Regions from separate parts of the Mus musculus genome. Here region 2 is reported to be linked to region 1. Evidence: microRNA targets listed by miRTarBase, many of them from high-throughput screens and not tested one by one. Region 1 holds a microRNA gene; the other region holds the end of a gene's coding sequence.

What was found. The annotated mature microRNA mmu-miR-203-5p reads AGUGGUUCUUGACAGUUCAACA and lies in region 1 at 1,536-1,557, opposite strand. An mRNA with a match to its seed (bases 2 to 7 or 8) in the 3' UTR can be bound and repressed. Matches are read on the target gene's strand: a 7mer-m8 pairs with bases 2 to 8, a 7mer-A1 pairs with bases 2 to 7 and ends in A, and an 8mer does both.
Region 2: the mRNA of Glrb is a reported target of mmu-miR-203-5p. The part of its 3' UTR that is shown has no 7-base or 8-base seed match.

Annotation. Positions count from the first base shown.
Region 1 is chr12:112,128,297-112,132,445 of GRCm38, reverse strand. It overlaps Mir203 (microRNA 203), which reads right to left and starts at 1,566; the gene lies at 1,491-1,566. It overlaps Gm51289 (predicted gene, 51289), which reads left to right and starts at 1,500; the gene lies at 1,500-1,559.
Region 2 is chr3:80,841,694-80,845,693 of GRCm38, forward strand. It overlaps Glrb (glycine receptor, beta subunit), which reads right to left. Exons shown (of 10, transcript NM_010298.6): 10 at 1,906-3,564. The coding sequence ends at 3,271. Among named protein-coding and RNA genes, the nearest start is that of Gria2, 41 kb to the left of the region's middle.

The sequences.
Region 1 (4,149 bases):
ACGCCAGAGAGGGTGTCTGGGTCAGCAGCTTCACTCAGGATGATCAGAAGTAGCCAACAAGGAGGCCTCCTCCACAGCCAGGAAAAACCTGGCAGAAAGTGGAAGCGGAGCCCGGGGCTGGAGTAGTTACCTCCCCAACCAATGGCTTCACTTTCTCCTTCTCTGGTGATTAGGATGCCTGAGAAGAGGCCTCACAAACAGGCCTCAATGAGAAACCTCAAGGACACAGGGATGCTTTGGAATACGTTTATTATTATTATTTTTAATCAACCTACAATATGCACATTTAAACCAAGTTACATGATTCACAACTACAGACCAAGGACATCCAGCGTGTCAAACCCCGACTGAATGGCCAAGAGCACTCACCAGGGGCACTCACCGAGGGCACTCACCGAGGGCACTCACCGAGGGCAGTCAGCACAGCACCTGGGATGCCCTCTGGTTCCTAGGGGTACCTGCTCTCTAACAGCCCGAGGTGTCCACAGTGGCACTTTCTGGCTAACAGGCAAGATGCTGACCCAAAGTAGATGCTAACTGGGTGCGGAGTGGGGGCGCCCCATGGGACACCATTCCCTCCCACCTCTGGCCGTCTCCTGTACTTGCCTGGCATGCACACATGCAAAGGATGGGTACCTCTCCAACGTGCCATCAGGACACAGGGACTCATCCAGTGGGAAATGCTCTGACCCGCCTCAAATTCAGTCTAGGCTGTCCAGTGGCTCCCATATTTGGGCCAAGGAAGCTGGGATAGGAGGAGGCCCTCTTTCCCGATGTTGCTATGTTGTCGGTTTAAGGGTCCAGGCATCCATTTCTTTCCACACAACCCCATCTGACAGGGCCTGACCACCTGGAGGTGGAAATGCCAAGTCAAGCAGACTTTGCTCAGAGCCACTTACAGTTTCACTCAGACCTCTCCCATGGGTGCACTCATCCAACAGCTGAGCCTGAGGCCCCAAAAGATCACCCTGGCTCAACTCTGCATCAGGACTGGGCCTGTCCCCACTACCACTCTTCCAGCCCGTGTCTGGCCCTAGAAGCTGTCCATTCATACAGCACACACTCACAGGATCACTACCCCAGCCTGGAAAAGGGAGAGCTCCCGCAGAAGAATTCTCAGCTCAACAAGATGACTACCAAGGGCTCGGCAGCCTCAGCCCCAGTGGCCACTCTCACGCTGGAGCAAAGAATGCCCCTTGACCCAGAGGTCAGGCGGCCGGCTCCTGCCAGAGGTTCGGTGGCTTTGGACAAGGGTGGATCAGGAGAGAATGAAGGTGAGGCGCACGTGTCAGCAGTGTGGGCGAAAGTGCAGGCTGCTGTGCAGGTCCAGGGCCAGCGTGCGTCCCGGGTCGTCGCTCTGCACTCCTGCCAGGCTGCGGGACTGCACGAGTCTCGGCGATCCGGGTGCCCCCACCCCACCCCCGCGCCCCTCTCAAGCCGACCTTGGCCGTCGGGGCCGCCCCGTCGCTGCTGTCGTCGCCGCCGTGCGCGCCGGGTCTAGTGGTCCTAAACATTTCACAATTGTGCTACAGAACTGTTGAACTGTCAAGAACCACTGGACCAGGCGCGCCTGCACACAGAAGTTCTGCACAGCCCGGAGCTCCGGAGCCACAGCTCAGCGCCCTCCTGCGACCCGGCCCGCGTGGCCGGGCTGCACTCTGTGCGGCGGCAGCCGGCGTGCCTGCGCCTTTTATGCGTCTAGGTCGCCCCGCTCGGCGCCGGAACGCGCCAGCCGCGCTGGCCTGACCGGTTTTTCCAGGCCCGCGGGTCGCGCGGCGGGTCGGCCCGAGGCCCCGGGAGCTGCTCCGCGTGCTCGCGCGGGGGTGGCCCTGAGTCACCGGCCGCACCCGGCGCCCAGCTTGGCGCACCTGGCCGGGGTCGACGCAGGGGCCGCGCCCGCTGGAAGCCCGAGAGCCGGCTTTGCAATGCTCGCCAAGGGGCCACGCCGGCGGGGCACGCACCGAGCCCCACGGGCGGCGCGGGGGCGGGAACGGACACGCCCGCACCGCGGACTCTCTTCAAAGAGAACTCCGTGGGAGGGGAAGGAGGGAACAAAGAGAAAGTGAAACTGGGTGGGGGGGCTGCGGCGAGTTTCTGCTTCCCAGACCTGGGCCTCTCGGCGCTCGGAGGGGGCGGGGCGAGCCCAGTCCTGGGTCCTGGGTCCTTGTGCCATGTACCAGGGACCTTGCCCGCAGTCCAAAGGGCCCTGTCTGCTCCGCACCTGCAGGCGCCCTGCCCTCTTAGTCACCGAGCCCTTAAGGGTTCCCTTCCAGTGCAGTAAGGACAGTGTTAAAGGAAAAGGAGAGCGATTGGAATCAAACTTGAGCCCCTGAGGACCAGAAGGCTGTCATAATGCATTCAAGTTCTGGCCAGCTGGCCCAAGGAACACCAGTGTCTTCTTTTCCGGGGTGCCACAGACTGGGCCAAGGCAGCAGGAGGAAGCCTCTAGACCTTTCACTGATGGCGCTGTCAAGTTTAACTTTTGCATTCGCCTTGTAGGGTGAACAGTGTAGGGTTTTGTGTGTGTGTGTGTGTGTGTGTGTGTGTGTGTGTGTGTGTGTGTGTGTGTGTGTGTGTTAATGTGTTTGGTTTTGTTTGTTTGTTTGTTTTGCAGTTGGGTCTTCGGCCTCAGAGAGAAGCCATGCCTTCTCAGAGGTTCCACAGCCCTTGGCAGTGTGCAAGTCTGATTGAATGTGGAGTCAGAGGGGCTGGCATGGAGAACTAGGGAATGTCCACAAAGAGGCATTGCTGGAGTCTTACTCACCAGGCACACACTTAGTCTGGAAGTTGTCTCCTATCTCCGTGAGAAACCCTCAACGGCAAGACAAGAAACAAACAAACAAGCAAACCCCTTTGTACCCAGTCTAGCCTGAGTGGGCTCCTTTCCCATAGCAAATGTGGGCACTATGCCTCAGAGGGGACTTTTGAGAGGCAGGTGAAAACTCTGGCTCTCTTGCAACCTGAAATATGACAACCAGAAGGGTAACCTTGCAAGAGATTACTTGTGTATGAGGAGATGGGTGGGGGTGGCCTGGAGGGCTCAACTGGGGAGTCTGATTATAGAATAGAGGGCGCTGGGAACCAGAGGGCGTGACAAAAGGGAGATGTTCCCTAGAGATAGCCCTGGCGTTCAGAGGAGCTGAAGCCTCCCTAGAGGGAAATTACCAGTGTGCAAAACAGCAGTGAGCCTTGCCTGCTGGGGGCAGGGCCCGGCCCTCCTCCACTGTGAGGAGGGCCATAGGGTTCCCCAGCTTATCCAATATCTTATGTCTGGTCTGAGGGCAGCCTGAACCACCTCTGCATGTGCTAACAGGGGATTCCAGGGTTCCTGCAGATGGAAGGATGGCCCAGTGCCCTTTGTAGGAGCCTGAAAGGGACATGCGAGTGTCCCAAGTATCGTGCTTCCTAAAGCAACTTATCTGGGACCCTCAGAGGACCTTATTAATGCAGCACCTGCGTCCCCCCCCCCCAAGCCTTCTGGACGGTGCCTTTGAGGCCATCTGGCATCTGTCTGGTGTGAGGTTGCATCCCATCATCCTTGAGGATCCTGAGAACCGGCCTGGCTGCCAACCCTTGTAGGAGTCCCTCTTACCTGCCCGATTGCTGCCTCCCCCTGACCCTTGTTGCTCATATCTGCAGAACCTGTATGGGGACCTGGGGAAAAGCCTCAGTCAGCCTTCCACAACTGGAAGGCGGGACTGGGGGTGTTTCAGCAGAACAGGGAAGGGAGCCATCTCAGCTTGCACAATCCAAGTGTGGTGGATCCCAAGCAATGGCTCTGCCAGCCCCTCAGGAGGAGAGTGAAGGCCTCAGGCTGAGCTCGCCTTCCACACTTTCCTATGTCTGACAGTCTCACCTCCCTGCCCTGGACCCTGGAAGTCTCAGCCCACAGGTGAAGTCAGGTCTTGTAGATGGATGCTCATGCCCCGTGGTACCTCTCCACCTACTCATGGAGGATTCACTGAGGTGTGGGGCAAAGGCTTCTGGGCCCCTGCTGTGCTGAGGTGGTGTCACCAGGTTGTGCAAGGTGTAAGCACACCTGTCTGGGTGAGGAGCTGGGTGGCTGCCAGGGCAGCGTCTGCTGGGTCCTGGGAACCAGGCTGAGGAGCCTAAGGTGTGGGTAGGGGAGCCTCAGCCTGGCTCACCCAA
Region 2 (4,000 bases), not on the chromosome of region 1:
AGTTAAAAGGAGTGTTTACAGACATGACACACAAGCCTGGTCTACTAAGAAGAAACAAAGCATTACACTAACCATTTCTATAAAAGGGGATGCCAGAATTTAGCCCTTTACTTAAGTCTAAACATGAGAGAAATTGGTTGAAGTCAATTTAGTGGGATATTAGGGTATAAATAACTTTATGATAAGGGAATGTTTTGTTTGGTTCACTGAGGCCCAGCATGAGACATTAAGTATACCTTTATGGATAGTGGTATAATCACATTTTAAAAATACTTTATATATGTATAGGTTTACCCAAGTTCCACATGTGGGGGGCCTGCAGAGGCCAGAAAGGGGCCAGGTTCTTTGGAATGGAGGTTATAAGCAGCTGTGAGCTGCTGCACATGGATGCTAAGAACTGAGGCATGGTCCTTCTGCAAGCATTCTTAACCACTAACCATCTCTAACTCAACATAGCCCCAGTCATGTTAAAGAAATTGATGTCATAACAATGAAACAAAACTCATGATCCTGGCTTGTACTATGAAGGAGAGTTACAGAAAATAGAAAAGAATTAATAATTCGCTCAGTGCCAATTTCCCGAGGAGGACCCATTCTATCGCTGTGGTCATGAAATGAAAGGTCCTTGTAATTTGGAAAGACACGCTGGAGTTGTATAGGTAAAAAGACATCATGGCTTCCATTTACAATCTTGAAGAGCAGCTTCTTGTGCACACAGAGTGATGGAAGAGAAAGAAAGCACGTCTGAGAAAAGAGGAGTGTCTGCGGACTGTAGATCAAGGGTGCACAGGAATTCTTTGTACTTTTTCAAGTTTGTTGGAACATTCTGAAATGATGCCAAGTGAAAGAAATGAAAAAGAAACAGGTCGACATGATGTTGGGTAGTAACTGGAACAGGGAGGGGGCTTGTTCTGGTAAAAGCATGCATTCGTATCTTTTAGCAGAAATGTATGAGGAAACACCAGAGTTTTAAATGTCTCAGTTTTTCAGGTCAGCAGCTTCACCCTGGGCATTCACATAAACAGCCACATCCATACACAAATAGCATTGTAATATAGTTTTGTATTTGAAAAAGGACAACTTCATTTCCACATGGGAAAAAAATCCTCCCAAGAGGAGGCAGAGTTCATACTTATACGTGAATATAAGTATGTTGTCATCTAAAAAGAATCCCAGTACATATAATGTGGGGAATCCAAATAATGTTAGGTTAAGTGCCATTTATTCTATATGCTTATGCTAAATTACTTTTTATAGTCAAAAGTCAGACTTAGCTTAGAGATACCTAAAAACGGGTCTGAGTTGGGATCTGGGCACATTGAACCCTGGGAATCATAGAAAGAGAAAAAAGGCAGGGATAACAATGTATGTGCTATTCTAAACAGATGTGTCTGGTTCATAAAACATCTGCATATTTAGCTCAAAATAAGAAGTAGCGATGAGACTCTAGACCAAGGATATAGTCTGATATTAAGAAGCTATTATATTGTATTACATGACAAAATTCCTTCCCCGCTGTTTTTACAATACATTTCTATATCATGACACTGCTTTCACTATCAGACACCTAATACCCTAGATGAAAGGCCCTAACACGAAAGCAAGTTAGAAAAACAAATGTAAGAAAATATCACTACAAAGAGATTCTTTAAATGATACATGTTTAAGGTATTTTTCCCACTGCTGGCCCATTAAACTAATACTTGCCTAGGTCTTGGGAGAGAAAACTATTCGCCATTTTACTTGTGGCATTTTAAAATGATCTAGACTGTCATGCTTTTGTAATTGGATGGTATTGAAAGACTACAGAGGATTACTCTATACACCATTTAAAGAAGGCCATAACCCCCGGAATGCTCCTGAGTTGAAAATCTTCAATAAATCACATAGCAGTAAAGAGCAAATGGCAATTGCACAAATAATACTTTTAATGCATTATGTTATGAGTTGGCTGTACAAACTATCAACAAGAACAAAAGCACTCCAAATAACGCAAAATGGCTTTATGGTCTGTTTACATTACAGTAATTACTAATAGCTCCAATTTTAGCTAAGACAGAAATAAACAGTTACACTATGACACTGTTAGAAAATGGGGCTTTATAAGAAGAGGCTTAGGGGTTCTTTTCAGATAGAAATAAGATGAAGTCAGCCAGCCCCAATATCTAGACTTTCAGCGAGAAGAAAAGGGTGAAGTCTAAAGGTTAAATAAAAAAAATTATTAACTAAATCATTGTTTTGTAACATATTCAAATACATTCAAATAAATAAAAAAAATTCCAAAAACAGTTTGAATATTACTTGAAATATAGAAACATTTTAATAAAATAAACAACCTAAGTCCTTCAGTGATTATGATTTTTCCATTTCAAGTTCATGCTAACAATTTCTGGAGTCTAACAGTAATCTGGACTCACATGTCACCACACTATTTAGGTTTGAAATGTGTGCAACTCTTTTTAAGGCTTATGCTTAATGCTCTCCATACCAACCAATGAAAGGCATGAAAATAGACTTTGATTTAAGGTGGATTAAAGGATTTATTTTATCCAAAATATTTAATTAATACATCTATCACTATTTGTATTTTGCCAGAAGCCAGAACTTGCTATGCATTTATACTAGCCCAGATTTCTCTTTTCTTCAGAAATGCTTACTGTTCTATTATCTGGCATTTTGACGACACAAGCACACTTAAAAATAAGCTTGCTTTATAAATGTATAATTATGATTTTATTTCTTAAGGAGCCTGCATAACTATTACTGATCTACCTCTCTTAAAAACTTTAAACACTATGCCATATAATCTTGCTTAATCTGCAATAATACTATCGAAAATTATTTAATAAGATGGCTTTCTTTCTTACAAGGAAGGGGATGTAAGATACTGCATACATGGACCAGTGAACATGACAGGGGTCAGCGTGCACATTATGTTTTCATCTGGATTACTGGAAGTATTTGTAGTTACAGAGTTACAGTAGCTGAAGAGCACATTATGTAGATTACATAGTATGCATATTTGTCATTGATTCTTAAAGCACTATGCTCAATATACATACATCTATCTATCTATCTCACAGTCGGTGCACAGACTTTACAGGGTCATGCTGCCATTCAAAAGTAAGGTGCTGTATTTTATTATAATCAAGTGGCATCCAAAATGCAATATATTGCTAGGAAAATGCAAAGTTTCCACAGATCAGCAATTATGAATTGCATTGGTCACAATGAAATGGTGCTGTATTTCATACAAAGGGAAATGGTTTATCATAAATATATAGACCAATATATAACATTGAAGAACAAGAAGCAGAAAGGAAATAATGCTCTTGCATAAAGGTCGATGCGCTTGGCTGCTGTTGGGATGACAGGCTTGGCAGGCGGAGGCTTCTTGTTCTTTGCCTGTGGTTTCCCAAGTCCATTGTTGACTTCGATGGGTTTCCCATAGCAGTCATAATTGGATAATTCAAAATCTCTTGGTAAGCTTCCAACAATGCTGAAGTCATTGGATCTCAAATCAGACTTGGAAGTACAAACTTTTTTGCATCTGGTCTCACCAACCTGAGCACAAAAATGAGAGATGGTGTGACAGGATTTAACTCAGTTATAGATACCATATCTCCTCAAAAAGATACTTTAAAATGGAGTTTATACATTAGCATGAATAATAGTCAACTGATTAACCAACCAGAATAATTAGACATTTAAGAAGGCTCTGATACTTTGCCCAAATAACAAGGCTAATACCATTGAATGGGCTTTTTTTTTTATTAATTTGTCTAAGAGATAATGCATGAATCAACATTAATTTAGGTTACTATTTAGGTTGTAAGACTTTTTAAGTTTAAATACTAAGAAATAAACATCTGTCCACGGTCCAGAGAAAATATTACTCTGAGTGTGAAGTCAGAGCTTTCATTATTGCCTTCCTGTTTCTGAATAGAATTGCTGATTAATTAATGATGGAGCCATTTGTCCTGCAATAAGACTTTTGACC